Xenopus tropicalis: one gene and its partners. The protein of the gene in region 2 interacts with the protein of the main gene of each other region in a biochemical or structural test. Links are inferred from orthologs where the notes say so. Each region holds a gene or a part of one and is shown on either strand. Other genes may lie near its edges.

What was found.
Region 1: the proteins of faslg (region 2) and lyn form a complex in vitro, tested with the Homo sapiens proteins (2 studies listed by BioGRID, with this or other methods). The link is inferred for Xenopus tropicalis from reciprocal best matches to the Homo sapiens genes FASLG and LYN.
Region 3: the proteins of faslg (region 2) and fyn form a complex in vitro, tested with the Homo sapiens proteins (4 studies listed by BioGRID and IntAct, with this or other methods). The link is inferred for Xenopus tropicalis from reciprocal best matches to the Homo sapiens genes FASLG and FYN.

Annotation. Positions count from the first base shown.
Region 1 is NC_030682.2:115,675,484-115,686,696, reverse strand, and holds the end of lyn (tyrosine-protein kinase Lyn), read right to left. Parts: intron 7,527-11,213; exon of another isoform or gene 7,074-7,526; intron 5,760-7,073; exon of another isoform or gene 5,720-5,759; intron 5,393-5,719; coding exon 5,239-5,392; intron 3,207-5,238; coding exon 3,075-3,206; intron 2,834-3,074; coding exon 2,631-2,833; 3' UTR 1,493-2,630; downstream 1-1,492. UniProt on the Homo sapiens protein: Non-receptor tyrosine-protein kinase that transmits signals from cell surface receptors and plays an important role in the regulation of innate and adaptive immune responses, hematopoiesis, responses to growth factors and cytokines, integrin signaling, but also responses to DNA damage and genotoxic agents.
Region 2 is NC_030680.2:107,199,015-107,209,086, forward strand, and holds faslg (tumor necrosis factor ligand superfamily member 6), read right to left. Parts: upstream 9,857-10,072; 5' UTR 9,793-9,856; coding exon 9,529-9,792; intron 8,167-9,528; coding exon 8,121-8,166; intron 7,768-8,120; coding exon 7,711-7,767; intron 6,979-7,710; coding exon 6,569-6,978; 3' UTR 5,198-6,568; downstream 1-5,197. UniProt on the Homo sapiens protein: Cytokine that binds to TNFRSF6/FAS, a receptor that transduces the apoptotic signal into cells. Involved in cytotoxic T-cell-mediated apoptosis, natural killer cell-mediated apoptosis and in T-cell development.
Region 3 is NC_030681.2:76,825,125-76,836,337, reverse strand, and holds part of fyn (tyrosine-protein kinase Fyn), read right to left. Parts: intron 11,071-11,213; coding exon 10,906-11,070; intron 10,567-10,905; coding exon of another isoform or gene 10,411-10,566; intron 8,861-10,410; coding exon 8,681-8,860; intron 7,179-8,680; coding exon 7,102-7,178; intron 6,944-7,101; coding exon 6,790-6,943; intron 1,617-6,789; coding exon 1,485-1,616; intron 5-1,484; coding exon 1-4. UniProt on the Homo sapiens protein: Non-receptor tyrosine-protein kinase that plays a role in many biological processes including regulation of cell growth and survival, cell adhesion, integrin-mediated signaling, cytoskeletal remodeling, cell motility, immune response and axon guidance.

The DNA of each region.
Region 1 (11,213 bases), on a different chromosome or scaffold from region 2:
GTATTAATTTGGTTTTGAATTGTACCTGACAGGGTCTTCCAATAGGGTTGCCACCTGGGTGGTGTTTTTTTTAATAGAGAAAATATATAAAAATATAGAAAGTCTGGTATTTTTTTTCAAGAAAAAGTGGCAACCCTATCTGCTAAGCTGCTGCTGTGTGAAGGGTGGTTTATTTAGATATCCTATCATGAAGAGTGACAGCTTCTGCCATTGTGTTTAATTGCTTGCATCTTGCCTGAGGAGACAACACTTACTCTAAATACAATGTTCATAACAAAATAAGAAAAAAATTCACATACTGCAAAAAAGAAGCAGATTGCATTAGTTTTATTGCTAGTGGTTTATAAAGGGATACAAACAATTTGTTTAACTTGGTATGCCACCAACCAGACCCGGTAGTAGGAATATGCCACTTTTTTAAAGCAGACATATTGTATAAAAACAATAATGTGTCAGTGCATTATACTCTATTAAATACTGAAGGAATGTGCTTTAAAAATATGTGCTGGCTCCTTTCCCAGGCTGTGCAGGGGAGCCGACGGCACTCAGCACCCTACACTATAAGAGATCTGGGCAATTCCAGGCCAGATGTTGGTCGGGGAGGCCCGTTGGTGGTGCCCACACGGGCAAATAAGCTGCCAAATCGGTTAAAGGACCAATATCTGCAGTGGAAATTGGCCAGTGTATGGCCAGCTTAAGGGTACAGCCTACTTTTTATGTGGTTAAATCATCTGTTTCCATTTAGTTTAGGCTAAACTAATTATCAATCAGCAGTTCATTTGTATTATTTTAACTGCACAGTAAAAGTTGGTTGTTGGACTGGGGAAAACATCTAATGCCTTCATGTCCCTAAACCTCTTTGTTTCCATTTAGGGGCAGTAAATTCTACACAAATATACAAAATATATAAACAGATTACAAACTATATTTATTATGACATATCTAATGTTGTTGCTTAGGAAAAGGGCACGAAGCTTCAGGGCTAAACTCCAAGGGAGATTTTTAGCAGATTTTTTGGGGTCATATTTGATCTGATCTTGTCATGCAACAGCACAAATTTTGTAGGATGCATCAAAACCTGATCTCTATAGACTGTAATGTAAAGTTGGATGAGATAAAGTGGGATGGAGTGTTTTGTTCCTGCACCTACATCCACAGTCTATGTATTTCAATGAAAAAGTGTGCAGATAAGGAAAAGGGGGGGAGCACTCACCAGGATAGCCAACTGTAAGTACTTTTCCGTGCTGCCACGCTTCGTGCCGCCCCCAATAAGGCCAGAATATCCAAAGCAAATTAATGAAGAAGCGGAGCACTGGATAACTTATATATAAAACCACATATTTATTTCCATCAGTTAAAAACAGAGCAGAGCATCCTCACCTCAAGCCATGAGGTGAGGATGCTCTGCTCTGTTTTTAACTGATGGAAATAAATGTGGTTTTATATATAAGTTATCCAGTGCTCCGCTTCTTCATTGATTTGTTTTCAATGAAAAAGTGTGTCAGACACCATCAGCGTTCCCTTCTTACGTGTCAGATCATAATCCTTTCATGTAGTTTACACATCAGATTTTTGTATCAGTTCCATTATATTTTGATCCATGCAACTACATCCGACTTGTAAGATGCGTTCTGTCAATCCAACTCCATCTGACAAAAGCTCCCATTGAGTTTAGCCCTAAGATCATAGTACAAATATCTCACATTCTTTTTTTTTCACTTTCGCTTACCGTCTCAGTCTGAGTTGGATAAAACCATTATTATGCTAAAGAATCACAGAACTGTTGTCAATGAACACATTTTGGTAACAAGGTATAATGTTAATGACCCGTCCATGATGAACAAACAATAGAGTTTGGCCCCTTCTTTACAGAGAATGTCCAACTCGCAGCTCTTCAGGTGTTGTGGCCTATGATTCCCATGAGTCTCTGCTAGTCCACAGCTTTCCAATAACAGCAGTTATAGTCCACAGCAGCTGGAGGTCTGCAGGTTTTACATGCTTGTCATAACATTTATAACAGATTTTTCACACAACCTTACTCTAAATCAGTGGCTACATATAAATATGATGAAAATCTGTAAAGCTATTTTTTTCTGTGAATGAACATTAAGTAAAATGTTCAAAAATACTAAACAGCGTCTCTGCAATCCAACCTTTCACTCCCTACAGTTTTGTTAAACAGCTTCATGTGACACAGAGTTTAATAAATACTACCGTTTGCATTCATCTACTATGGTGAACCAAAATTGCACGGCATTTGGGGGTGTGAGATTTCTGGTATAAGCAAGAATGTGCCATGGCACTATACAAACTGGCATGGGCAGATTCCGTCAGCCCTGTGGGAATGATGTAAAGAAGCAGCTGTGTAGGACAAACTCCACACATGTACAATATGGTGCTCTGTGATGCCTGTTTATTTCCGAGCGCTTGGGATTTCGGCACCAGCACTGCATAAGGAACATACACAGAGAAGCTACACAGTAAGTGGGCCATGATGTGAAGGGGACGGGAATGTGTTATTCCATCTTTTCAACATGTTCAGACTTTCCAGGCTGTAAGAGACAAAAAGGAACGCAATAACCAGTTCAGTCTGTTTCCCTGTACAATAACAAGGAAATGTGTGTCCTGCTCTAAGGCTGCTGTTGATATTGTGCCTCTGTTGCTGTGTAGAAATCATCCAGAACGCTTTGTAAATAATCAAATGTTGGCCGTTCCTCTGCCTTCTCCTTCCAGCACTCTTTCATGATGTCATACAGTTCTACGGGACAGTTTTCCATGCGGGGCATACGGTAGCCTCGCTGCAGGGCGGTCATCACATCTGAATTGCTCATTCCTGCAGAGCCAGAAGAAAACCATTAGGTGCTTTGCTTTGCACACAGCTCAACTAACATCCTTACTAAATTATCTCTGTATGTTGCCTCTTCACAACTTCTTAAATACCAACCTTTGTTTGGTATGGCCAGTAGCATACCTTGAAAGTGTTTGGCCCCTCCACAAAAAAATCTTCAGTGGGGCTGGCATGAACCGTCCCTCCTCGAAATCGACAAATATATTAAAAAAAGAGTTTCCTTTACCTGGATAAGGGATCTTTCCAGTGGTTATTATTTCATACAACAGAACGCCAAAAGACCACACATCAGATTTTATTGTAAATGAACCGAAATTAATTGCCTCTGGCGCAGTCCATTTGATAGGGAACTTAGCACCTTAGAAAAAAAAAAAGAGGTGATGGTCACGATCAGTAATAACAGCATGGGTGATATAGAGACATGAGATCTAAATAACAGGTAGAGCACATTTTAAATCTAAAGCTGCTATAGTGTAAGGGACATACTGTTGGCTTATATTGTGCATTTAGATGGACAATAAACAGGATGTTTCCAATTATCTAACAGCACAGGTGGGTTACATTTCACTATAATTTGCCTTGTTTTTTTAACGGTTTGTAAGTAGTTGCCCTTTATTCTGCTCCATGTTGGTGACTTCACCCTTTATAAACAGTAAGTTAGCCAACATGGCCTTACTGACTTTGATTTACACAAAGAGCTGTGTTTGTTCAGCTAACAGACAAACTGAATTATTCATTCTATGGCACCCTGTAATGCTTTGTAAGCGTTAACCGCCCAACTGAATAGGGTACATGTAAGCAATGTAATAGTATAGTCATTCTGGATTTTCCAGTAGTCAATATAGGGGGGCCTCCAACAGCTTTATATGACAGAACTGCAGAGCACTACCTTAGCCGCATCGGCCTTGTAAAGGTGCCAAGGTGTGGTTTCCCTTAGAAATGAGCCCAAGAGTGAGTGAGAGACAGTTTCATGTTCTATTCACTCTTACAGGGCATATTCCTTCCTGGAGTTCTAGGGAAGGTGAAAGGGAGTTTTCTTATTGTTTCTCTGCAATAGCTGTCACACAAGAGCAACTCCATTAGCCTCCCCACCCCTAATAAAGGCACGGACTGACAAACAGAGCCTGAGCACTGATATGAATAAAGTTTGCATGGAAACTATTTACTTATAAGTGAACTAAAGCACTCAGTAAGATCTGGGCTGCTGCTGAGAATCTCAACTTTTGTGTTGTTGGAAATCTTTAAAGCATTAGCAGGTTATATACTGTATGTCTTAGCAGAATCCCCTGGTTTCTGTGCTGCCATGAGATGTCAGTCTGCATCTGCATTATATATATATCAAGAAAGGGTACTGCACACACAGGGACTTAATGCAAAGAAAAAAAGTGTTCATTGAAAAAAATCCAACATTTCAAGCATGGTCTGTGCTCTTCCTCAGGGACAAACCAACAGACTATGTCCCAACAGCCACATTAAATACCCCCCCACCACATAAAAAGTCCCTGTGTGTGCAGTACCTTTCTTTATATTTTATGTTTTACCTGCACCCAGGTTTTGTGAAGTGTGTGCTCCTCTCTGTTCATATATATGATATATACTTTCACTCGTTAGTGAGGACCGCTAGTGGGACCGAAACGTCAGTTTCCCTCAATAAAATTTGCTGTGGATATTATTAAGTCTTGAGGAGTGTGAGATTTTTCAGATGGTGATTATACATATTTCCACACTGCACCCAGGCGAAGTATTCTACTTATACGTGAGTGCCTACCCTCCAATATATATATATATATAATGCACTTATCGAAAGTTTGTGAACCCTTTCAAATGTTCTATATTTTTATATGAATGTGACCTAAAACATCATCCGATTTTCAAAGTCATAATATGAGATGAAATAAACCTAGTTGATCAAATGAAAGAAAAGGCATAATAATTTTTGTTTAATTTGTTTCACTAGGTTTTCTTTATTTAGTTTTAGGATTTGTTTGAAAATAAAATGATGTTTTAGGTCACATAATATAAAATATGAAAGGGTTCACAAACATTCAAGCACCACCGTATGTGCACAAGGGTATTTTACCACACACATTTAATGCCATGAACTGAGACTCTTTACCCCTTTTATTGCCACACAGCTGAGTATCACATGATTTTGCAGATCACTATGCTTCCTATTTACAACAGTTATAAATATTGTGAGCCAGGCAATCACTTTTTTAGGGAGTCACAGTTTAATATTATAGGCATCCTTAGTATCTGTTAGCAACCTGGCACTATCTTATTGTAAATAATGGAAGCAATTTGTTAGGGTAATAAAACAGAGCCCTCGATTGCTGGAACAGATCTTACCATTTGTCTGTTTTACAGCACATTAAAAGCAGAGCACATACCTTCCCTTGCAGTGTACTCATTATCTTCAATTACTCGGGCAAGACCAAAGTCAGCAATTTTGCACATTAAGGATTCTGAAACAAGCACATTAGCGGCTCTCAGATCTCGGTGGATGTAGTTCTTTTTTTCTATATAAGCCATGCCTTCAGCAATCTGTGGGAGAGATTATTAGGTGGTTAAGAGTACCTATAGGAGCCAGTCATAGAAGCCATTAATCTTTTGGAATTTAAAGGAACACTGTCATGGGAAAACATGTTTTTTTTCAAAACACATCAGTTAATAGAGCTTCTCTAGCAGAATCCTGAATTTAAAGTGCAAACTGTTTTTGCTATGTTTAATTTTGAAATGTCACATGGTGCTAGCCATATTCTTCATTTCCCAGGGTGCCACAGCCATGTGACCTGTGCTCTGATAAACTTCATTCACACTTTACTGCTGAGTTGCAAGATGGAGCGATATCACCCCCCTCCCAGCAGCCGATCAGCAGAACAATGGGAAGGGAGCAAGATAGCAGCTCCCGGTAGGTATCAGAATAGCACTTAATACTTTAGCATCTGCTAAACTGAAATGAAAAGTTCTTGTGCATGATTCGTAAAACTAAATGTACAATATTTGTAAGAAGGTGTTAATCTGGCTGCCATGACAATGTGCAAATCTCTTTAAAGGTTTCAATACAATGTAAAACGAGGAAATCTGAGCCGTGGCTAATACCACTGTTGTACAGATAGCTGGAAAAACAGGTTGAATATGACACCAGAATGTGTGCAGTGAAGAGGAAACCATAGCTAAAATGTATATTTCAGTTAAACCCATTATACAAACAAGCTCCCCAGTAAAACCAAAATCCTGTTGCTCACTGATTATCTACATTCCCAGTGAATTAACAGCAAAAAACCATTTAAGTCCAAGATAATTTACTCTTCTACTAAATAATACATACATATATGGAGACAGGGGTACCCCCATAAGACAGTGGGAGTGCTACCTATGTTTTTTGCTTGGTGAAACGCCCCATGAGCCATAGCCCTTGAACAGCAATAAATACAGGTATGGGACCTGTTATCCAGAATGCTCAGGACCTGGGGTTTTCCAGATATGCGGTCTTCCCATAATTTGGATCACAATGCCTAACGTCTACCAAAAAATCATTTTAACATTAATTAAACCCAATAGGTTTTTTCCTCCAATAAGGATGAATTATATTTTAGTTGGGATCAAATAAAAGGTTCTGTTTTATTATTACAGACAAAAAGGAAATTTTAAAAAGAAAAAATAGGATTATTTGCTTGTAATGGAGTCTATCGAAGATGAACTGCCCGTAATTCAGAACTTTCTGCATAATGGGTTTCCAGATAAGGGATCCAATACCTGTACCTTGTACTTGATTCCAGCTAAGATATAATTAATTCTTATTGGAGGCAAAACAATCCTAATGTGTTTATTCAATATTTAAATAATTTTTATCTGACTTAAGGTATGGAGATCTAAATTACGGAAAGATCCCTTATCCGGAAAACCTCAGGTCCCAAGCATTCTGGATAATAGGTCCCATACCCGTATAAGGATTTATTTATTTATAGATTGATGTAATAGGTTATTCACTCTGAGCTGATGGTGTGTGTGGGGCACCCAGGAGCAGATATAACAAAACTCAAGGCACTGATAATCAACTTGGAAAACAATGGCAGGTGTGACTACCGTACCTGAAGCAGGGGCCTAAGTAGCCCCAAAAGCTTAGTTAACCAATTAAAACTCTGACCTACTATATATTTTCTAGTATTATTCAGTCTAACATATGCTTCCTCTCCCTAACTTGTCATCTGCTTATTTTCAGATATACCCCTTCACTGCTTCTTTCTCAGATGCACAAAGTATCTTATTCTGCTTAACCTGAAAGGCGTCCATCATGTTCAGCCCACAAAGAATAACTCTGAACTCTGAAGCTCTACACACGGCAGATATTGTTAGCCATCTTTTGTCTTTAGTCATCCTTTGACTATAGTGGCCAACAGCTGCCCATGTATACATATGCAGAACCAAGGAGGTCCTACCGAACATGCTGGAAAATTCATGAGGGAAAACCCACTGATGCCAAATGCTTACTGGGCCTCTGCCATTTGATCTGGTGGCTGCCTGTACTGTCAAATCTGGCTGAAAGTTTGTAGATAACCTGGTCTGTCCATTTAGCTGCTAGGAGTAGCCATTTTCATATGTGGATATGGAACTCATTTAATAATTACAGTAAAACATTAAAACTATATTATGCAATAAATCCTGATGAATAATATGTTTGAAGTTCTGGTCCTTCTTCATGTACATATAACAAATACAGTATATAGTAAACCTAAAGGTTCCTGGGCCAAATTCATTGCTTTAAGAGGAGGCTACATGTGCACAGACCATCATGCAGTTTGGTCAGTAATGGACTATTGTAGCCCCCCCTTTTGTGCCCCCCCCCCCATCTGTCTGGCTGCTGTGACTGCTTACCTTTGTGTATGTTTAAATGGTATCAGTATTAACTGCCTTCCTGCATTGTTCACACCTTAGATTAAGGCTGTAAATTCCTTCACTGTTCACACCCACTGTATTGTTCACACCTGTAAAGTGCATAGTCTTGATAGGTCTCCCTGTCTCCTTCTCAAGCATGCCTGTGTCATATTCTGCTTGCCCTATGCTGCCTGTGTGTACCATACTCTGCCTGCCCTATGATGCCTGTGTGTACCATACTCTGCCTGCCCTATGATGCCTGTGTGTGCCATACTCTGCCTGCCCTATGATGCCTGTGTTTGCCATACTCTGCCTGCCCTATGCTGCCTATGTGTGCCATACTCTGCCTGCCCTATGCTGCCTGTGTGTGCCATACTCTGCCTGCCCTATGCTGCCTATGTGTGCCATACTCTGCCTGCCCTATGATGCCTGTGTGTGCCATACTCTGCCTGCCCTATGCTTCCTGTGTGTGCCATACTCTACCTGCCCTATGCTGCCTGTGTGTGCCATACTCTGCCTGCCCTATGCTGCCTGTGTGTGCCATACTCTGCCTGCTCTATGCTTCCTGTGTGTGCCATACTCTACCTGCCCTATGCTGCCTGTGTGTGCCATACTCTGCCTGCGTGTGCCATATTCTGCCTGCCCTATACTGTGCTGCCTGTGGGATATCCCTGCAATTATTTGGGTGTATTTATGTGTGTTACCACCTTTAATTTGGCTATAGTCTTAAAAGCTCTTGTGATAACATGGATGTGGTTTGACGAAGGTGTGGTTAAAAAAAAAAACAAGAAACCTGGCCTCCATTACCGGTCCTCCACCATGTAGGCCAAAATAAATTCAATCCCTTGGTACCACAGAAGTTGGGCAGCACTAGACTATACAATTTAATTAAAGTCATGTGCCCTAGTAAAGATGCAGGATTTTGGTCTATTTGGTGAGTTTACTGACATGTGGTGCTGAGCATTTCACTTTTATGTTTTAAAACATCATGTAATTTAGTGCAATTAGGTTAAATGCCAAGAATGCATTACCAAACAACAAACAGAAGACATTCTACAACAGAATATATATGTTCAAATATTTAATTCTTCATTGTAAAATACTTGTCATTGCTAAATGTTGGCCTTTGTTTCTACATATGAACGTTATGTTTGCATTTGTGTTGCTCTCTTTCCCTTATTTCCTATTTACAGTAAGTAAAGGCAACAGTGAGCCCATTGTGTGCGCACCTTGTTCCATTATGTATAAACAGTTGGTGATAACCCAAAACAATAGCACTCTTCACGAGAGCATACACTGTACAATTACTCACTGGCAGTGAATACAAACTATTTTTTTTCTAAGGATTTTACTTAAATTATTGGCAAAAGATTGGAAGCAGTTCATGTAATGCAGATTATAGTTGTTTGTGTCAACAGCTTTTTTGTTTTAGTTGATGGTTATGTATATTACATATACTGTATATGAACACACGTAGTCATGAAAGGTCATCTAAAAATAGCCTTCCTTAGGGTTACTGTTGAACCCAAGAGCAAGCTGCAGGTGAGTTGGGCAAGGATCACACATGCAGCTTTTTTTTGGTCATTGGTCTCAAAGCATTTTCCTTAAAAAAGCTGTATTTAAACACCCCAAATGACCCTTGCTGCTCCCTATAGCTGACAATGGGAATTCAATTGAAAAAAAACATCAGTGGTACATTTCACAGAATTCTCAACTCAAAATGTACACAAATGTTAAATTACTTACTGTTAAATTTCAAGTTACTCTATAGTCTTAACTTTAACATTAGGCATGCTACGGGCTAGCACCAAAAATAGGTCCCCATGCTGCCTGGGGTGTGACCCTATGATCCCTCTAATACACTGAAACCTACTCCTTTTAAAATGAGGCAACATCACCGGTAATGCTTTTTACACAGCATGATAAATATACCCCCTAGAGTGCAGCATACAGATGGGCTAAAGCCCAAAACAGTTCTCCATGCAGCCTGTGGTGTGTCTCCATGATCCCTTGAAAACCTATTCCCTTTAAAACATATTCTTATGAAAATGAAGCACACAATACATTCTAAATTCATTCAAGTGTTGCATAGTAAAGGAGCAGCACATGGGATGGACCTATGTGTTCTTTTACAAGCCCCTTCCATGTGATATAACATTAAAAGGACATAGGTGCTCTGGGCCCTTATACTTAAAAGAAAACTATACCCCCAAACAATGTAGGTCTCTATAAAAATATATTGCATAAACACACTCATATGTAAAACCCCGCTTCATCTAAATAAACCATTTTCATAAAAATATACCTTTTTAGTAGTATGTGTTAATGGTTTCTCCTAAATAGAAAACTGACATTTTAAGAATTAAGGGCCGCCCCCTCCCCCGGGATCATAGGATTCACAGTGCCCACAAACAAGCCAAGGCACACATACATGCTAGGTCACATCAGCCAATTAATGAACAGAGTTCTGACTTTTGCTTTCACACTACTTCCTGTTACAGTTACTTCCTGTCAGGTGATCTCTGAGGGAGCACACAGCCCATCACTAAATGGTGTATTAAGGGAAAAAAGGTAAAAGGGCAATATTTACTGATATATATATTCCAGTTTGGTGAAATTCTTTAATAGCCACTTAACATAATATAAACTATCTGTTGGTTACATATTCATTCTGGGGGTATAGTTTTCCTTTAATGCCTGCTCACTGCAGGTCTTATGTACAGAGTTTCCGACCACCACATTATGAAAAATAACATGGTGAAGGGCAACCTCATTAATTCAGCCTTAAAGAAAAGCCTTTATGAACTGATGTTTTTATTCTAGGAAATACATGATTTAAATTGGATATATTCAACACCCACAAATATATTCAAGGCCAAAATAATGTCTTAACAAAGATTTCCTAGCTAGGAGGTAGAGAATATTGATTAAATGATGGAAAGGTGTTTTTGTACTGTATAAGCAGCCAAGGGAAGAAATACCATGCCAAGAAACATAGTGATAAAAGGTTCAATAATGGCTTGGATGTGTTTTTACCAATATTAAATAATGAGTAGAAAGTGATCCAAGGATCTAACTAACAGTCATTCTGGGGTCACAAAGAAGTTTATAACTCCCACCAGTATTTCCATATGGGTAGGTTTGACTTTTGGTTTCAGTTGAGGATATTGGAGAAGAGTGGATGCCATGTTTAGTATAAACTAATTTGTCTTTCCCACAATGCCCTCCAGAAACCGCAAACATCAAATAATTGTCATTACAAAGACCCACCACCTCTACTGAGGCATACAACAAACTTATAAACAGAATATCAGAAAGTAGGCCATTTAATTTCCAAAAGCTCTAATACATGGAGTACTTGTATTTCCAGTGCTGGGGCAAGTCCTACTGGTGCCCAAGGCCCAACGTGCAGCCAGCCCACCCCTCATGCTGCTGGTTACTCATGACTCCCTCCCCCCCCCACCCCAAATTTCTGAAAACAGGATTT
Region 2 (10,072 bases):
TCACACATCACTAGTCTAGTACAGTGCAGAGCAGGGAGACACATACCAGGATAGGGTGTAAATGGATTCCTTCACAGCAATCTAAAGGATCAGCCCTTCAGCACTGCTATTCTGTTTTTTACCCTCCTTTTCTTAGCTATATTTTTCCCTGCACTATTTTGCCCTTATTGCTTCTCCAGGGTGTGCATTTGTCTATCCACCCTGACTCTTTTCTGCCTACCCCACTTCATTAAAATTTAAATCTTGTGTGGGTGTCTTTTACTAATCAATCCACCACATCTCTACAAAGTTTCTATTTAGTGATAACACGAAAACCTTATTATGGTATTTTATATTAAATCGCACCCCCCATATTTTGTCAGCATTGTTCACCAGCACCTAAATGATGAAACTGGAAAGTATGAGTAGCAATGCTAAAAGACAGCCAAAAGTGTGGTATGATACTGAGAAAGATAAAAGCATTTGGTAGGATGAAAGAAACCTCAGACACTCTTTTAGCCATCTTCCTCCCACAAAAAAAAGATCTTTCCACAGAGATATCCTGAACCCTCCCAACTGTTGTTCACACACCCCCATAGAGCAATGCTCCCTTGGGTCCTTCCACTCTGCATCTTGGTATTTTTATCCCCTTTAATGAAGCATCTAATGCTTTTCCAGAACGATGGGTTTATGCACTGCACACTGTGGCCCTTCAGAATATCTGTTAGACATACTGGAGACTACCTTATACCCCTTATGGAACTGTGGGCTAGCGATGCATTTACTGATTTGTGGAGCAATTTTATAAATTTGGGGGAATTTAAAGGAACAGTAACACTAAAAAATGAAAGACCTTTAAAGTAATAAAAATATAATGCACTGTTGCCCTGCACTGGTAAAACTGGTGTGTTTGCTACAGTAACACTACTATAATTTATATAATAAGCTGTTGTGTAGCCATGGGGGCAGCCATTCAAGCTGGAAAAAAGGAGAAAAGGCACAGGTTACATAGCAGATAACAGATAAGCTCTGTGGAATACAATAGTGTTTTATCTGTTATCTGCTATGTGCCTGTGCCTTTTCTCCTTTGAATGGCTGCCTCCATGGCTACATAGCAGCTTATTTATATAAATTATAGTAGACTTTCTGAAGTAAACACACAACTTTTACCAGTACAGGGCAGCAGCACATTATATTTTAGTCACTTTTATACACTTTCATTTTTTGGTGTTACTGTTCCTTTAAGTATATTGTGAATCACTGGATCATTAAGCGAAGTCTAAGCATATTTTGATACATGATTTAGGAGATATTTTGATAATTTGATGAGGAAAGATTATCTCCTAATTTCCAGATTTTTCCATAGAGCCAGATGCAATTCATTAAGAAACACTTATCTCACTGTTTTTCACATGAACACATGAAATCTGTGGGAAAAACTTGAATTTGTATTTGGCCCATTATGGGTTATCGGATGTAGTTTGAGGTCTTTGTGCCGGATTCTATGTGAACAGATGGAGAAATTGGGCCACCAAATTGTACCTTTCTATAACCTCATGTGATCTAAAGTTGGCCCAGAAAATTTGGCATTCACCATTCCAAAATGGAATGATTGTTATGGTTTGTTCTGGAACCATTCCCATACTCCCAAAAGCCCCTAAGTCTGCCTGGCTGTATGTATGCTTCAGTATGTGTGGGAGCAGGAGTCCATCTGAATATTTTCCAGCTGTTCCTATTGTTGTGAGTAGTGATGCACCGAATCCTGTTAGAAACTTAGAACATATAAAGTGTACTATTGGATACTGGATGGATTTTGAGAAAGATCAGTGAGTTGGCGGGCTCATTACCAAAGGAGGTCCTAGATACTTAGATATGCAGTGTTGTTTCAGCCATTGGTCAGTGTAAGAACCTTACCTGAGATGTTACTTATCTGTCGAGGTTTTTAACCAGAAAGTCACGTTTAGTGTAGGGATGAGACCTCCCCTTGATCCATTCCAACACAGGTGAGGTAAGGGCAGGGGGCAGCAGCCCAAGGATTACCACTCCTTATCTGTCACTGAAAATAAGTTCTGCACAGTATAACATAGTAATAAGTATAACCCAGTAACTCAGAATTAGCTGTGCAGCTGGTGGGATCTACTGCTCTCATTATTTCTCAACTAGCTTACATATTGGTTAATGTGTGCTGTAGCCCACAACGGGAGGAACGCAATGACATGTTTTTCCCTGTTATAAAAAAATAAACAATGCAAAGCGTAACTTCCTCGAGCCTCGTCGTTGCCATTCAGGGATCCTGTATCAGCTTATAAACTTGGTTATAAAATTGGTTAAAAATGAGTTTGTCACTAGTGAGAATTAGGCTTGAGAATTTAAAGAGTGAAGGAAATCCCCTAGAAATGTATAATTTTAATGCATATACTGCACATCTATTTGACAATATTCACTGTCCTAGTAAACATGCATCTCCCTTAAATATTAGCAATATCTATTAAAATAGACAGAGAGAACATATCTCTACTGCTCTTTGTTACTAAATTACATAACATATTACATAAAATACATAACTTTTTGGTGTCTTTAGAAGAAATTATATAAAGGTATTTTATTAGTAATGGAAAGGTTTGTACAAAGGAAGGAAATGCTATATTTGCTCTCAGAATGCGTAATGTAAAGGTCCTGATGACCACATCCTTAGTACATTGCGTGCAGGGACGACCGACTGAACTTGCAACACAAGCATTGATTAAGCTAACCTAATTACTTCTGCTTGATATTATATTATATTAGTTGCATTTCAACAAATAATTAAACTCCTATCTAATCATCCTATCTGCTAAAAGCAAAAATATAGACCTGTAAGCACTAATGCAAGTAAATCATGGTGGTACAGAGGTGGTACAGTGGTACGTAAATTGTGCTTCAGTAACATTATTCTGCAACTATATGCTAGAAGTTGCTCAGACCCTTGTATAGCCTTCACTACACATTCTAGCTTGGGAAAATAGCATTTCCTCACAGCATTTTTAAAATAAAATGATGGGATGTTTTAGACCATGGCTCTAATGTGCCACAGACATGCTTTTGGTGCAAGGAGTTTGGGACATATACAATAAGAAGGTGGGTTTTAAAGGGAAATAGGATTTAATTACACTTTATTTTTTCATGCATTCTTTTTTATGCGGTTATAACATTGGAAGCTGCCATACTGTTTCTCATCGTAGCACCCATTTATTGTGAATCCACGTACTCCAGTTGCCTCCAGTGGTCAAATTGACATAAATATATTATCATGCTTGCGTAGATTTACTTGCAGTGATTATATTTGAAAACTGCAAGCAGTAAACTTTTTACTCAGCAAGAGTTCCCTGCCCTGACCAGTTATTTAGATTCTATCCATAATTCTTCAGTTATTTAGATTCTATCCATCATTTGTCTTTAGCCCTGTCTTTTTTAAGTTTAAGTTTCACCTGCACTTATCTTCACTTGTTTCAGTTTAGAAAGTTTCAGGAACAGCATTATGGCAATTTTTTTGTAAAAACCAACATTATATTAACAAATTGCTTATATTATATACTGGGGGAAGGATTTCTAACAGGCTCATGATTCTACTAGATTCTGTGCTGTCTTGATCTGTTCACACCTACCCACTGGGAACCCACCCCTAGTTCACAAAGGATCTGATTTAAAACCCAGTAGGTAAGTTTACGCCCTCCCGCAGGCAACTTTGCGCAAATTTGGAAAACCAGGGTCAAAAAAGTGATGCGTAGGCCTCTCACCGTTGATTCCCTTTGTTGCTGGTGGAAAGTATTTTGGAGAGATTAGTTGCCTGAGGTAGCAGAGGTCTAACACGGACAACTAAATCTCTCCATCTGACATTAGCTCAAGTGTTACCAGAGGAAAGTCATACACAGACATAGATTAAAGCAGGAATGAAATCACCTGGAACATCTTGGAAATCTTGCAGTTTTATATAACTAAGCAACTGTGGGAATGTATTAAACTGAAAGCTAGGATGCATCTAAACCATCAGTTTTAAATTTGGATGATATTCTGCACAAAGAAATTCAGACAAATACATAAATAAATGGGAACCCTGATTATCATATTCAAATCTCATTACATTTTTAAAAATGTCATCAATTAAAAACAAGAATTGTTACATTCAGTCCTGGGTTGACTGAACACCTGCAAACAGTGCTAGGATTTAGCCACATCCCAAACCTAATCCTAGAATCAGTGTATCCTTACTGCAAACTAAAAGGGCATTTCACACAAAATATCAGCAAAGAGTTTGTGATTTAGTCTTTTGGGGGGGGGGGGCAATGAATTAACCATTTTATGTGAAAAAAGGCCACAAACATATGTTTCATTTTAATTGTGTCTTTCTCTGTCCTTATTTTTAGCAGTACAATATTTGGAATCATCAGTTGTACAACCAGTAACCAACCAGAAATGAAAGCAAAATGATTGCTTGCTCTACGCTTTCATTTTAGAGAACAATTTACTCAATTTTTGCGCATTGCTACCTAAGTTGGTAGTAAAATTATTGCATTTTTTCCACCTAAAACTTTCTGAGATAAATTTCCCAGTCACAATTTTTTACCATAAATTACATGAATCACTGCAAAATTAAAACTGCACAATTTAATAAATAGGGGAGGGCCATTTGTCCAAATTCAAATTTTTGTGTTTTTTTCAAACCACAATTAAAACAATAAATCAGTTATTAAAACAGCCTTATAAAAAAAAAGCACAAACAAAAAAAACACATGAAAACCACAAATTTTTCATGTTTTTTCAATAATGGAAAATCTGAAAAATCCCAAAACCTCTAATACCACAAAGCAAAAGAAGCTCTTCCAATTGGAAACAGGACAGCTGCCTACTGACTTGTACATGACGTTGATAGTTTCTAGATGGCGGTTTTCATGGTTTCAAGGTTTAGTGCAAAAAACATGATTTGTTAAAACAAATAAAATGTGAATTTTGGTAAATGCCCCCCTTTTTTGTATGGCAAGCTAATGGGAGCAATTCTATACCTATTTTTTTATAGAAACGAGGCATGAGTCTTATTATTAACCATCACTGGTAAGCAGTATGATATTAGCTACTCATAAATATAACATTAAATAGATAATAAATTTAAAGTACACACAGAAAGCTATGCTCATCTAATTCACCCCTATGTAATAAAGAAAAGGCTTGTTTTTATAAGGAGTTTATTCTTGCCAAAAACTGATATTTGTATAGCCAAGTATACCTAATAAATATCTGTGGGTGTATTCATTGTAACTAACATAAACAAAAAATATATAGAAATAAAAAAGTGTCCAGGCTGTTTAAATATACATTTTGGATAAGGAAAGCTATACCTGAAAGCACCAGTAATGTTAGAAATTGATGAACAAACTAACTCTTCTTAACCCCAAAGTTAGATTTTATTAACATGAATTAATTTAACCCAGAAAATGTTGATGTCCAGTAAAGTAATCAGTTTACAGTATCACATGAACAATCATACTAATTAGCACACAATTTAAATTTGTATTTTCACTTTTATATTCATCATAATATAGCAGGCTACTACATGGAGTACATCTTAAATAAATAGTCTAGTAAATTATATATCTATATATTTACAATAAGGGACACCTGTTAGTGTCATTTAAACAGTACATCTAGCCCTGTTTAGTTAACATAGCCTGCTTTACTTCAGAAACCTTTAGAATTCAACAGTGACTGATACTGATACCATGCTACATTGGGAACAACGTAATCATTTCTAGGGCTGGTTAATTCCATTGTAATGTATTGCCCACATAACACAAGCAAATCAAACTGGAGCTCTCATATTCTCATTTCATACATCTCACTTGACTTGATGACTTGAGAGTGGTTGGGCAGGAACTCTGCGGCCGCGCATATTCTTTTAAACAGAATCCCGCACTTTCCTATCTCTGCTGTACATTCTGTTTCCTTTTGAGTAATACATGTTCTTCTCTTGTACAAGGTGTTTAATGCTTTCAGTTCTCTTTCTGTCCGGTCATCCTCTGTACTTTTGGACTGCTATAAGCAACAAGCATGATCATTGGCATGTTTGCCATTAAACATACAAATAGTGGTTCTTTAACATAATATTTGGCCATTTCTGTGCTTGAAAAGGTTTTGTATAGTGAAGTGTAATTGCATCCAGGATATGAGTTGGCAATATGTAATATTGTATCAATGTGGACTTTGAGGACTTTTAGTGAAAATAATTCATGATGGGTAAATTTGGTTGGAAAGCCATATTCATTTGTATTTGAACAAGCCCTGCATGTTTATGTCAAAGCACGTACCGTGTTTAAAAAGTCAGGGATGCTACAGTGAGAAATAATGGAACTGACTTTCTCATTGAGATCTACATGTATTACAACACTGATGTCAGTTGGTATCATTGTTGGTTGCAGAATTCTGGAAAATGATCACACTGTATAACAGTTACATATTATGAGCAGGTCATATTCATATAGCTTGTTTTCAATTTTAACATTCAACACTGTCCATTGTATTAAGGTAAGTTATAATTCCTTTGAGCACTCCAACATTGTCAGAGTTTGTAAAGCCCGAAGAATGTCCTGGATTCATCAAAACCGACAAGTTTAACATCAGAGACATTGACATAGATTGTTTCATCCGTGGTGAAGTTAAACAGAGAGCCAAGGTAACTGTGCCTTCCCCATTTGTTATTGGAGGTGCAGTATTGATACTCTGTATTTTGCATCAGTATGAGCTCTCCAGGGTACCTCTTGGACTTCTTGTAGACAGTATGGGACAATTCTTTACTCTGGCAGGAAGTGCTTCTGAAGTAAATAGATGAATAAAGGAAGTACAGGCCAGTCTGGTTCACCACTAGACCTCTGTTTTTGTACTGGATGCCAGAGGTAAAAGCGCGTCCAAATGTTTCTTCCCATGCTAATGGCAAAGTGGGTCCTTCTTTACCTTCTTTACCTTCTTTACCTGAAAAGGTATTTTTAAAATAATAATAATATATATGGTAATGGGGCAGTACACACCTATATACATCCTCCCTCGGAATCAGTATAATATATAGGACTTCTGTTTAGTTTTAAATTTATTTTTTTTTTAAAAATCCATGTTCCTTATTTTTAATATTATAAACCTTGTTTATCTGAAGGCCAAGAATCCGCCATGTGTGGCAGAAGCTATAACTAATCTGCAGCCTTTGTTTGTATAATCTTTCTATGCAAAGATAGACTGGTAATCTGTTTTACTACCTACTCCTCTACTGAGGACTGGTAATCTATTTTACTACCTACTCCTTTACTTCCTACTCCTTACTGGACAGAACCAAGAAAGTATATATTTATAAGGTAAAATTGGCCAAGCCTTATTTCTTGAGCTTATGTTGAATAACACCGTTAAACAGTTGTAGATTAAGCCCAGTCTACCTGCGACTGTAGACAATGTTGCAACAGTGTTGTACCTGAGCCTGTAAGAACCCAGTACCATATTCCCCTACCCCTCTATTCCCACTTCAGAAGAACCTTTTCAACAGGCAAGAGTGCTACTGCATATTAGGATGTAACATGCAACTGAAGAGTTCCCAGCAAAGTAGCTGGGAAAGGCCCTCAGAGGTCTTGGGCTGGTACCATGTGTAGTTATTATGTCCAAGGGTTTGTAAGTTAAGAATCCATACTTCATGCATTAAAAACACATATGATTACCTACCTGTTACATGTGCAGCAAGTCTACTTTCTTTTTTCTCAGTTGGGTGTTTGTTCAACCCTGTAAAAAGAGCAAACATTCAATTGATTTTCCAGTATGGTCCTAACCTAAGCACAAAGTGCAAAGTGAGAGAAATGCTAGGTAGACCAAGGCCAATTGTTGTTGATGTTGCAGGAAGGCTCACAGTTATTAGATGTAGCACCAAGCATTCCAACACTGGTTAAATGAATTGCCTGCATTGGCCATAGGCAAGAAATAGAAATTAGTACTTCACAACCTCAAAGTAACCGTCAAGTGTTGCTCACCAAATGCAGCAGCTAAAGGAGAACACTTCTAGAACTTACTCCCATATAAACTCTGCTAAATAGCATATGCCACACTTTTATTTTATAGAGAAACATATTGTAACTCACCAATTAATTTTTCCAAAGCAGGAGGTAATGCCTGGTCACCAGAAATCTAGAAAGAAAAAGTTTGTGGAGATTATTTGCATTTCCAAAAATCATTATCAGCTTTATGAAATCTGCATATGAACTGCAACTATGGAAATCATTATCTACTATACTATTTATTTCCAGCTGCTAAGTTGCTTTCTTTTCTATTACTAGACAAGGGGTGAAGCTTGGGCTCAAAGGAAACAGTGATGGATATTCCAACTGCTTTAATGTCAGTGTGTCTGGGGAAAAAAGTAGTTTCATGGAGCAGGAGCTCCTCCTATTGGATACTCTCCAAAAATATGCTTTTTAATTGCAGCAAGAAACACCTTTGGTCCTGTCTTCGTCCTGTGCACCTCCAAAGCAATTGGATAGACAGAAACACAGTAGCAGGAGTAAGGTGGTGCATTGGTTTTCTTAGTTCATGGTTACTTTAATATATACCACATATAAACCAATCCACGACACAGCTAATTTTTTAGCTCTAGAACAAGCACATTTTTAAAATCCCTCAATGCACCATTTAGAAGAAGTGGAGTTAAAGTTTTTTAAATTCTGTACATAGGTACAGGTATCAGACCCCTTATCCAGAAACCCATTATCCAGAAAGTTCTGAATTAAGGAAAGGCCATTTCCCATAGACTCCATTTTAATCAAATAATTCACATTTTTAAAAATTATTTTTTTTCTCTGTAATAATAAAACAGTACCTTGTACTTGATCCCAACTAACATATAATTAATCCTTATTGGAGCCAAAACAATCCTAGTGGGTTTAACTACAGTTTAATTTTTTTTTTGTTAGCAAATTTAAGGTAGGAGATCCGAATTACGGAAAGACCCCTTATCCGGAAAACCCCAGGTCCCAAGCATTCTGGATAATGGGTCCCATGCCTGTACTTGCCCAGGGATTTGTTAATTATATAAAAAAAAGTAATCACAGTTTTCCTATTCTCATGAATTAATGGAATTCTATAGACCACTAAACTATTATAGTGATATTATTGAAAAATATCTTATTGTAAAACCAAGCTGCATTATTATTTCTATGACAAATTTAAGGGTACCATCATTTTTAAATGGTGATGTGGAGAGAACCAAAGGTTTTTCAAGTAATTTATGCCCTTCCACTGAAAGCCCTGCCATGAAGTACAGCAGATAACCATGACACTGGGACAGCGGAGTCAATCAGCTTTCTGTGCATACAGAGGAACCACCAGAAATTTGTCTGCATTGGATCACTGTTTAAGGGCCACCAATGAGCAACCCTAGCTTGGTCAGAAATATCATTATAAAGCTTTTCTATGCTGCCAGATAAAACACTGGCAAGTTACTTAGGTTGGTTAGGTTAAAATAAAGAAAAAATCTAAAATTAATATGTTATGTACCTCCTTAACGTTGTCCAGTTCCTTTTGCAACTCGATGATTTTATAGGTGCCAAGACCAACACCAAAAAGTGCTAGCAAAATCAGAAGGAACATGATCAGCAAGTAAGTACAAGTGCCATCTTTACGTCGTTTTCTCCTGAAGTCCGGGAATGGGGGTGGTAGAGGCATATTGACTTGGTTTGGTGGCAATGGTGGCAATGGTGGGGTTCTACATGGATCCGTCCAAAAAACTGAAGGCTGTGCGTATCTCATATCTTGCTGCATAATGGGATTTGTCAATCTGAAATCAACGTAATGTGCTGCTGATGTCTTTGTATTGTGCTGTAGTTTTAGCTGCTGAAGGAAAAAACTGTGGTTGTTTCATGTGTAAGTACATTTATAGATTCTAGCTGCTAATTCACACCACCCTCTTCCACCCCCTTTCTTCCTCTCTTCATAGTTCAAAAGTGGAACAGAGTGTGATTCAAAATGCTACAGCATTCTCTTACTTGGTCATTCAGAGAGTGTATGGACTAGCAAAGCATAGGGATCAGGGTGCTTTTAA
Region 3 (11,213 bases), on a different chromosome or scaffold from region 2:
ATTCCTTAAAAAGAAGAACACACAGCTTTACACACAATGTCCTACATTGTTTCTCTCTCACTGCAAAGTAGAGATTTCTCTATTACAGGTATGGGATCCCTTATCCGGAAACCCGTTCTCCAGAAAGCTTGGAATTACGGCCCGTCTCCCATGGACTCCATTTTAATCAAATAATTAAGAATTTTAAAACTGATTTCCTTTTTCTCTGTAGTATAAAAACAGTACCTTGTAATTGATCCCAACTAAGATATAATTAAACTTATTGTATGCAAAACAATCCTATTGGGTTGAATTAATGTTTTATTAATTTTTTAGTAGACTTAAGGTATGGAGACCCACATTACGGAAAGACCCCTTATCCAGAATACCCTTGGTCCAAAGCATTCTGGATAACGGGTCCTATACCTGTACTAAGGGTTTAAATATTTGTTCCAATAGATAAGTTATATTGTCTGGTTTTCCTTGTGCAGATTTTTAGTAAATGCGCCTCCATGAAGTTACATTGCCTTTGATCTGTTGAGCTGATCTCAATTACACCCTTTGGCCTACCCGCACTTTCAGTTTCTACTGTACACCATATACAGCAGAAGATGACCCCAAAGTGTCAAGGCCTTTTCTAAACTATGACTTCTGCACTAATTACACCTCACCAGAGACTTTTCCTAGTTCAAAACAATAAACACATAATTCTGATTTATTCTAGTAAAAAGTTCCTCTTTTCAGTCCCACTGAGTATGCTGTGGTACGCAAGCCTACATCATTTTTCATTACAGTGGTCATTTACAGACACAGTGGACAGAAGTGAAAGATCACTTATGCCCAGGGTTTATCAGTGGATACATTTTTGGCCCATAGTGCCAAGTGTGGATGGGGGGAACAAGTAGATGCACTCTTGTGCCCTGTAGTGCTTTTACACTTGTGCCCCCCTGGAGTCATAAATGCATGGATATATATACATATTGCATTAGCACTCAACTATACAACTTAAAAAAAGTGTCTGCATAGTAAAAAGAAAAAAAAAAGAGACACAGTTTGTATAACATATGATCAAAGCAGTGTCCTTGCATCAGTCCTAACTATGTGAGCTACGTATATTATCCCCTCTTGCATCAGTCCTAACTATGTGAGCTACATATATTATCCCCTCTTGCTTCTGGTCATTGCCATCTAAATGAGAACAAATGTTTCACTGCAAAGCAGATTTATCAGATGTGAGATTAAAGCACACCACAAAAAATACACCCACTTTCTATTCATTCCTATGGGATTTTTAGAAGTGTATTTATCAATGGGTAAAAGTTAGAGTTCACCATTTAAAAATCCTATAGGAATGAACAGAAAGTGGGTGAATTTTTTTTGTGGGGAGCTCTAATCTCGCATCTGATAAATCTGCCCCTTGTTTTGCATTATTCCAAGATAGCAGAATATATAATTCCTGATAAGGCTAGATATACCACTATCCTTAATAGCAGGCAGCCACTTACCTGGATAGGGAACTCTTCCCTTTGTAACAAGCTCTGTCAGTAAAATTCCAAATGACCACACATCTGACTTTATTGTGAACCTTCCATAGAGTGCTGCTTCAGGAGCTGTCCATTTTATGGGAAACTTTGCACCTGTAGAGAAAAAAATAAGAAAATGACAATTACGCCATTTGTAGTTGTAATCTTCAACAGACTCCAGGAGGAGTATTCTAAAATAAACTAACAGTTAAGTCATTTATCATATTTACCATTAATAATAGTTCCAATTGCAGCATAAATATATGATTATTTGATAAAGCCTCAACCAGAATCAAATAAAGATTCATATATCAGAATGGCAATATGGTGACCAACAGTTTTCGAATCCAAACTTCAGTTTGTTTGTTTGTTTGTTTGTTTGTTTTTTTAAAACATTTTATTGAAGTTTTGCAATAAACATGTAGGATGAATAATGACAAATTATTTAAATATAGGTTGTACAACAATAGTCACATTCGACAGTTTGTCCTTCAACAAACTTCAGTTTGGAAGGCCACACACTGAAGGGATATTACTTTGTCCCATTGTAAATTGATGTTCAGACAGTGCTTATGCACCTTCTTTACATAAGGGGGGTATATTTTTCCTTTGACTACACAATTCCTGTCCACTGCAAGACTTTAGTGAACTGGTCTGGACTGGCATTCAAAATAGACCCCAGCATTTCAAGTACACAGAGGCCCAAACAGCCCCCATAGGCCCAATAAATAGTGACTGTCTAAGGCATCTTACAGCAGCCCCTCTGGCACCCACTGCGCTTTCTCGTCTTAAACCTTTCTATCTCGCTGCTCCTTACCTCTAGAACTCTATCCCTAAATCCCTCTGTAGGGAACACTCACCCACTCTCTTTAAGATAAAGCTCAGCTGTTACCTTCTGGAGCACTTAAACATTATTTTGCCTAGTCCTGCGCTTAATGGCAAATGTCCATACTTAGTGCACTCTTACCTTCCAGTTTGTGCCTGTATGTTACCCAACCACTTAGATTGTAAGCTCTACGGGGCAGGGACCTCCTCCCTACTGTGTCTCATACTACATGGCACTTACTCCCTGTGTATTTATACTTATTTATTTATTGTATTTATTATAATACTTGTCTTCCCTGTATGTAATTTTGTATATTGTAAGATTGTATAGCTCTGCATAACCTTGTGGCGCTTTATAAATAGAGTTATACATACATACATACATTTGCCAGAACCCACAGATTGTCTGTCCAGGCCTGTTAGTGAAGGATATTAATGGGCTGTGATGTGAAATAACATAGGGCATAAGAATACCATATGACCTTGCTACAATCTAATAAGTCTGTGGAGCTATATCTATCAAGAAATGTAATTTTAAGAACATCCCCTCATGCCTCACAGGGATGTAAAAAGGAGCTCTGTGACTTTGAACTAATCTTAAAGATTCCTATTACAAATAGACAATATAACCTGCATATACCCAGAGCTTATATTAAATTTATTTTTTTAAATCTGCAATAGCATTACTAGCAGCTAGCATACTGAAGCACATTAGCTCATTTTTTCTCTGCCTAGTCACACATACAGTGAGGAACATACGTATTTGAACACCCTGCGATTTTGCAAGTTCTCCCACTTGGAAATCATGGAGGGGTCTGAAATTCACATTGTAGGTGCATTCTCACTGTGAGAGACAGCATTTAAAAAAAAATTCAAGAAACCACTTGTATGATTTTTAAAGAATGTATTTGTATTGCACTGCTGCACATAAGTATTTGAACACCTGGCAATCAGCAAGAATTCTGGCTCTCAAAGACCTGTTACTCTGCCTTTAAAAAGTCCACCTCTACTCCACTCATTAATCTAAATTAGTAGCACCTGCTCTTTAAAGACACCTGTCCACCCCACAGTCAGACTCCAACTAATACCACTAGACCAAAGAGCTGTCAAAAGACACCAGAGACAAAATTGTGGACCTCCACAAGGCTGGAAAGGGCTACAGGGCAATTGCCAAGCAGCTTGGTGAAAATAGATCAACTGTTGGAGCAATTGTTAGAAAATGGAAGAGGCAAAAGACTACTGTCAGTCTCCCTAGGACTGGGGCTCCATGCAAGATCTCACCTTGTGGGGTATCACTGATGATAAGAAAGGTGTGGAATCAGCTTAGAACTACAAGGGAGGAGCTGGGAAGAGAGCTGGGACCACAGTTTAAAGGTCACTGTCAGTAGAACACTACGCCGTCATGGTTTTTAAATCATGCATTGCACAGTAGGTCTGAAGCATGGGGGTGGTAAAAACATGCTTTGGGGGTGCTTTTCTGTGAAGGGGACAGGACGACTGCACAGTATTAAGGAGAGGATGAATGGGGCCATGTATTGTGAGATTTTGAGCAACAACCTCCTTCCCTCCCTCATTGAAGATGGGTCCTGGCTGGGTCTTCCAACATGACAATGACCTGAAGCACACAGCCAGGATAACCGTAAGAGGCATATCAAGGTTCTGGAGTGGCCTAGCCAGTCTCCAGACCTAAATCCATAGAAAATCTGTGGAGGGAGCTGAAACTCCATGTTGCTCAGCGACAGCCCTGAAACCTGACAGATCTAGAGGAGATCTGTGTGGAGGAGTGGGCCAAAATCCCTGTTGCAGTGTCTGCAAACCTGGTCAAGAACTACAGGAAATGTTTGGCCTCTGTAATTGCAAACAAAGGCTTCTGTACCAAATATTAACACTGATTTTCTCAGGTGTTCAAATACTTATGTGCACCAGTGCAATACAAATACATTCTTTAAAAATCATACAATGTGATTTGCTGAATTTTTTTTTAAATGCGGTCTCTCACAGTGGGAATGCACCTACAATGTGAATTTCAGACCCTTCCATGATTTCCAAGTGGGAGAACTTGCAAAATCGCAGGGTGTTCAAATACTTACATTCCTCACTGTATATATTCATGCTTGGGACCTCCCAAACTGAGCTGAGGCATTGATTATAGACATATTTATCAAGCAATACACCACACCTAACCACTTTCATACCATGGGGCCTATTTATCAGCAATAAAAGCATCCTAATGCTAAAGGCATGTAGAAAAATGCATTTAATGTATCACCCTAAAGCTGCAATTGTTTGCCATTTAATTATGCTCTCGGGAACCTGCTGATCCAAGGAAAATATCAATACAACAGGGATTCTGAACTTGAAGCATCACTAACTCTCTCTGGTTTCTATTTTAAATATCCCTTTACAGCAGGGATCTGGTACAGGCCCCCAGGAACACATCAATAGCTGTAACCGGAGGATTTTGGCAACTGTAGTTCGGCATAATTTTGGCAGCCAGAGCTTTTATATGTAAAATCAATTTATTTTCTTATACATTGCCCTAGTTTACAAGCTAGTGCTGTGACCCATATAGAATATGTCGACTGTATGAAATATGATGAGATTTTAAACAGCTGGAATGTTTATGTTTTTGCAGCTGTTATATTTTTGCCACTATGTCTTTTTTTCCCTCCTTCTCAGCTTTACCCCCCTATGCTGCTGCCTTCCTCACCCAGCGTTAATGTTCTTCCCTGCTCTTCAGGAAATTCATTGCACTGTGGAATGCATGGCCATCTTGGGTTTTTTCACAAGTGTTTAAGCCAGGCAGAGAGAGAAAGCCAAGCAGCGTGGGAGCACAAGAAAAGAAGAAAACTTTGCTATTGGTATTCTGCTTGAGCAAGTGCATGTAATGCTTGCACTGTATCTACTGATCTTGCTGGCGTGTGTGGAGTGCTCATTGGTCATTTCTACACAGTGATTAAACTGGAACAGATGGGGTTAATATGCTCATTATCCATTTCTGGGATATGTTTTGGTGAAATAGGTATAGTTTTTAAAGTTGTGGCCACAAAGTAGGCATGGTCAATTTTTTTGCTATTCAACAAGATCTTTGCCCAGAGCCTTAAAGGAACAGTAACACCAAAAAATGAAAGTGTATAAAAGTAATTACAATATTATGTACTGTTGCCCTGCATTGCTACAACTGGTGTGTTTGCCTCAGAAAGACTACTATAGTTTATATAAGTAAGCTGCTGTGTAGCCATGGGGGCAGCCATTCAAAGGAGAAAAGGCACAGGTTACTTAGCAGATAACAGATAAACCCCCATTATATGGGGCTTATCTACTAGTTATCTGCTATGTAACCTGTGCCTTTTCTCCTTTTTTCCAGCTTGAATGGCTGCCCCCATGGCTACACAGCAGCTTACTTATATATACTATAGTAGTCTTTCTGAGGCAAACACACCAGCTGTAGCAATGCAGGGCAACAGTACATAATATTGTAATTACTTTTATACACTTTCATTTTTTGGTGTTACTGTTCCTTTAAAGGAGAAGAAAAGGTAATAACTAAGTAAGCTTTATCAGAATGGTCTATGTAAATAGCACTTAATGCACTGAGTTGTCTATCAAAAGAAATACACGATTTCTTGTCTACTTTTTTCTGTGCCAGAGTCTGCACAGCTCTCTCCTCTCTCCCATAAGAATGCTAACAACCCCCCCCCCCCGCCCTTAGGAATGTGGATCTGAGCCAATCAGCAGGAAGCTTCCTCATAGTCTTACAAACTACGCATGTACAGAGGTCATGGTCTTGGTGCAGGAGCGTGGCAATATGGGAATTTTTTTACAAAGCTCAGGGTTCTTTTTTCCTATGAGGCTGAATAGGCAAAATATGGGGAGACTTAAGGGCACTATTGAGAGAACTGAAAGTATGCCTGCAGCTTGAAATTAACACTTTATTAGCCTTTCCTTCTCCTTTAAACAGCCCCGATTCAGAAACCAAACAGCAATGGTGCAGGCAGGAACCAAAATGTGGACTGCAGGAATGGTGCTTGGTTTGGACTGTAGGTCTGATGTACAGTATAGAAATGACCTTACTAGTTATGACAAGCCTTATCTTTGAGTTCCTCCATAATAGGAGGATGTAATGTATTATAGAAAGCTACAACAGCTTCCCACTACATTCAAAAAACATGGAAGTGTTATTTGTGTGTTTTTAAAGGAAGCCAATTAAGCTTGGGCAATGTCTTGCATCTTGCAGATTGACAATTTTACAAGAGACAGCTACCTGACAATTGTTTACACAAGCACTGGGGGGGGGGGATGATTATATGCCAACGACTAAGCTACTGGCAGCACCAAAGTGCCTGAAATCACTCTATGTACGATTGCTTTTATATGTAATACATATTGATAATGAATCTACATACTGCTTTCCAAGTTCCTGTTACCATTCTTTAAAAGCACATCATCATGGCTTTCATACCTTGCCTTGCAGTGTACTCATTGTCTTCAATCAATCTAGCAAGGCCAAAATCAGCAATTTTGCAAATAAGGCCATTTCCAACCAAAATATTTGCAGATCTCAAATCTCTGTGTATATAATTCATTCTCTCAATATAAGCCATGCCAGCAGCAACCTGTCAGTAAAAATAGAAAACATTAGTAAATAAATTTGCAACAGTAAGTAAAAAAAGGCAATAATAAAAATAAATTCAATAATATGGAGTTGATTAATGAAGCTTAGACTGCAGTTTGAGTAATGATGACCTTAATTAATAATGAAACTTTACTGTACCTGGGCAGCCATGTCTACTAAATTTGGCAACTTCAAGGCTCTTCCTTCTCCATCCTTTAGGAAATCTAGTAAACTACCTGCATTAGAACAATATTCAAATTAACCAACTTTATTACTTTTTTAAATTAGAAATTCCAGATGTATTAATAGGATATATAAGAATATCCCTAACAACAGCTGAATTTGTCTTTGGGGAGCCCCAAGGCTTGTGTATATATCTATATATGTATATATATCAGTAAATATTGCCCTTTTACATGCTTTCCCTTGATCCACCATTTAGTGATGGGCTGTGTGCTCCCTCAGAGATCACATGACCGGAAATAATGCAGCTCTCACTGTAACAGGAGGAAGTGTGGAGGCAAAAGGCAGAACTCTGTCCATTAATTGGCTGATGGGGCCTAGCATGTAAGTGTGCCTTGGCTTGTTTGTGTGCACTGTGAATCCTATGATCCCAGGAGGCGGCCCTTCATTCTTAAAATGGCAATTTTCTATTTAGGATAACCCAACAGCACATACTACTAAAAAAGTATATATATTTTTATTTATTTTTTAAAACTTTATTTTTAATTTTTGTTTTACAACAAGGTAGGTTACATATAAAACATGTGGGGGGAAGATAGAAAGAGTAAAGTTGGGGTCGCATAGGGGGTTGGGGGGAGGGAAGGGGGGTTAAAAAGTATATTTTTATGAAAATGTTTATTTAGATGAAGCAGGGTTTTATATATGATCTTTTTAAGAAGTATATTTTTATACAGATCTACATTGTTTTGGGGTATAGTTTTCCTTTAAGGTATAATATTGTCAAGCAAAAATCTCATCCTTTAGTGCAGATAGGCAGCTGATATCTGCTGCATCCTGTTCAGGTATGAAGTGACACTACCCATACTACTCTTCCGCACCAAATGCTCAGGTAAAGAACCCTTTACCGTACGTGCCTGAGGTGTCTGCTGTAGGAGCAGGGCTCACTTGGCATGCAGAAGAAAAATACATCACTGTGGGTCTTACTCCTAAACGCTTATTATATAGTTCCATCCATTACATGAACCAGAATGTGTCTTGTAAATACTAGCAGAAGAGAGCCTATTCCAACAGCAGCAACCAGAAAATATACACTTCTGTAATGCAGTGTAATGGCTATTTACACTAAAGGAAGGCCATGCACAGTGAAGACTTCTGCTAGTCAAGCACTTCCAGATATTGCAAGGCATGCATCTGCACTTGTAGATGATATGCATCTTCCCCGTCACAAAGAGAGCAATGAAACCCACATTAATACCCCTATGCATGTCAGGGGCTTCCTGGGGGCTTTAAAGAGGCAGTTATTTCACTTTGCTTCTACATCTTATCTTTAAATTTGGGTCTCTGGAGAAATTGTCATCTCTAACCATACAACATTAAAGATACAGATAAAGCAGGCTTAGTGGAAGTATTTGTTCAGTTGAAATAACTGGGGTGTCATGGGTATTATGTGTTCAATACAATCTGTGTGTTTCAGTAATGTCAGTCTGACATCATATGATCATAATTTACTAATTAATAAGTATTATATCTAAGAAGAGACTTTTAGAATCCTGACCTTTGCTCATGTACTCGGTGACAATATAAATGGGCTCCTCAGACACTACAGCATAGAGCTGCACAAGCTTATCATGCTTCAGTTTCTTCATGATCTGTGCTTCTTCTAAGAAAGATTCTGGAGACATGGTGCCTGGCTTCAGTGTCTTTATCGCCACCTTTGTGTTTCCATTCCATGTACCTGCAACACAACATACCCAAGAATATGCACATTAGCATCAGCTAGCATTTAGAAGGAACGGAAGAAGGGACCCATGCCATTGGCTCTAGGGTGGCAATTCTCCAGTGCTATGCAAAATCTATAAAGAAATTGTGTGGGGGTATATTTGCCCTTTAACAGGCAGCTCCTGTTACCTTTGTAGCAATGCCACAGGATGCATATACTAAATAAAATAAACTTAATGATAGCTGTGTTTCCAATTATTTGATATTTATTGCCACTTTAAAGGCCTGCTGGTATGAATTCATAACCATTGGCATGGACCCCTCCTTTCCCACACAGAGCTTGGCATGCAATCACAAATACTCATGCACTTTAAAAGCAAGCTGCATGCAATAAAAAGCCCACCCACCAAGAAAAGAAAAAAACAATATTCTCACACTAAAATCTCACCTATTTCCAATGTTAATGCAAATTTAAAACTACATTCAGAAAGGAAAGTTAGTGTGGAAATAAAGTGTTAATAGGATAATTGGTTTTGGATTGTAATTACATGCTACAATCACAATGGTAAAGGTCACAATCACAGAGGAATACAGAAACCGTGGCTAGGTTTTATTTAGGGATGCACTGAATCCATAGCTTTTTGGATCTGACCACCAACAAATTCTGCTGAAGTGTGTATATATGCTTATATGTATGTATGTATGTATGTAGTATGTACATTCTCTGTACCCCTAGTTTCAGGCATGGATTTCTGTTATTTATAGTGACACCTTCCATTTGTCAGTCTGCAGTTAAATTTAACGGAATTTATGAAACACACATACTGAAAGGGTCTGTTCACCCTAAAATTAACTTTTAATATGATGCACACAGTATTATTCTAAGCCAGCTTTTAAGTAGCCTTAATTTTTAATTTTTGTTATTTTATATTCACAGTTTTCTGTTCTACTGTTGGGTTGCCATGGCTAGCTAGATAACCAGACAGCAGATTGGAATCAATGAAATTCACTGCTAACTTTGTGTCATAGATAATGACAGATGGTTATATAGACAGACACCTCTCCATTATATAAATATATGAAAAGATATGCCAAACTTGATGGACTAATGGTTTTCTATAACCTTACCATTTAATAATGCACCATTGTCAATATAATAAACACCTTATGTGGCAGATTTATCAAAATGCGAGTTTAGAGCTTAATACATAAAAACTCACCCATGTTCAGTTCATTCCTATGGGATTTGTAGAAATGTATTTATCAAACGGTGGGTTCTAACTTTCACCCATTGATGAATAAGTATCTAAAAATCCCATAGGAATTAATAGAATGTGGGTGAGTTTGTATGTATTAAGCTCTAAACTCACATTTTGATAAATCTGCCCCTATGTTTTATACTTAATAATTTCATAAATTCTCTACTGTAGCCTATGTGGAAACCTGGAGATTAATAATCTCTGGCACAATTTCTCTTTGCCATTGATGCTAAGTGACTTTTTTAGAGATAATATTGTTTAAAAAGTAGAATGTTTTCTCCTAAGCATGAAATATTGTCCACCTTACCAAACCACACTTCAGCGAAACAGCCCTGACCAAGCTTCTGCTCCAAAGATATTGTATTCCGTGCAACCTCCCATGCATCCTTAGCCAGTCCAACAGTTTGTGGAGTATAATTCGGTGCAATCAGAGTTAAATTAAAACACAAACCATCAGCTTTCTCTATAGGAAAAGGAATTAATAAAAAAACAAAATACATTTATGTCAAACCACAGCATGCAATAAGAAAGATGGAAGGTGATTGGTGTAAAGTATTTATCAACGCCACATTATAGTAGACAACTCAGTTTTTATATATTTTTAAAACTTCTAATATTCTGGCCATAGTAAAGTCCTCAACAGGTCACACTGGAGGCTAAAGAAAGGGGATTGTGGTTTTCATGGATTAATACCTACATCACAAACTTCCTGCTTCTTGTTTGCACCCACTTTCCATCTTTCCTCATATTGCTCCACACAAGAGCAGGTTATTAGATTTATAAAAATATATTCACTGCGTACCCATCCATACTTCCCCAAACTGCCCATTCCCCAGTCTCTTGATCAACTGGAGTGATTCTCTTGGTATTTCCCAAACATCTTTGGTTTTGACAGACAGGTCTGTAAGTCTTGGCATTCCTTTATGACATGGTACTACCAAGCGGCAACAAAGACCTGCAGCTCTCTCTGATGAGAGTTGAAAGAAGAAGGCAGAAAAGACAGGAAAAAATTGAAACGAAAACATGAAGCAAGATTAAGCATCACTAAAGAAAAGATAAAGCACATACAAGCAGAACTGAGCATATTTAAAGTCGGAGCCAATTTCACAA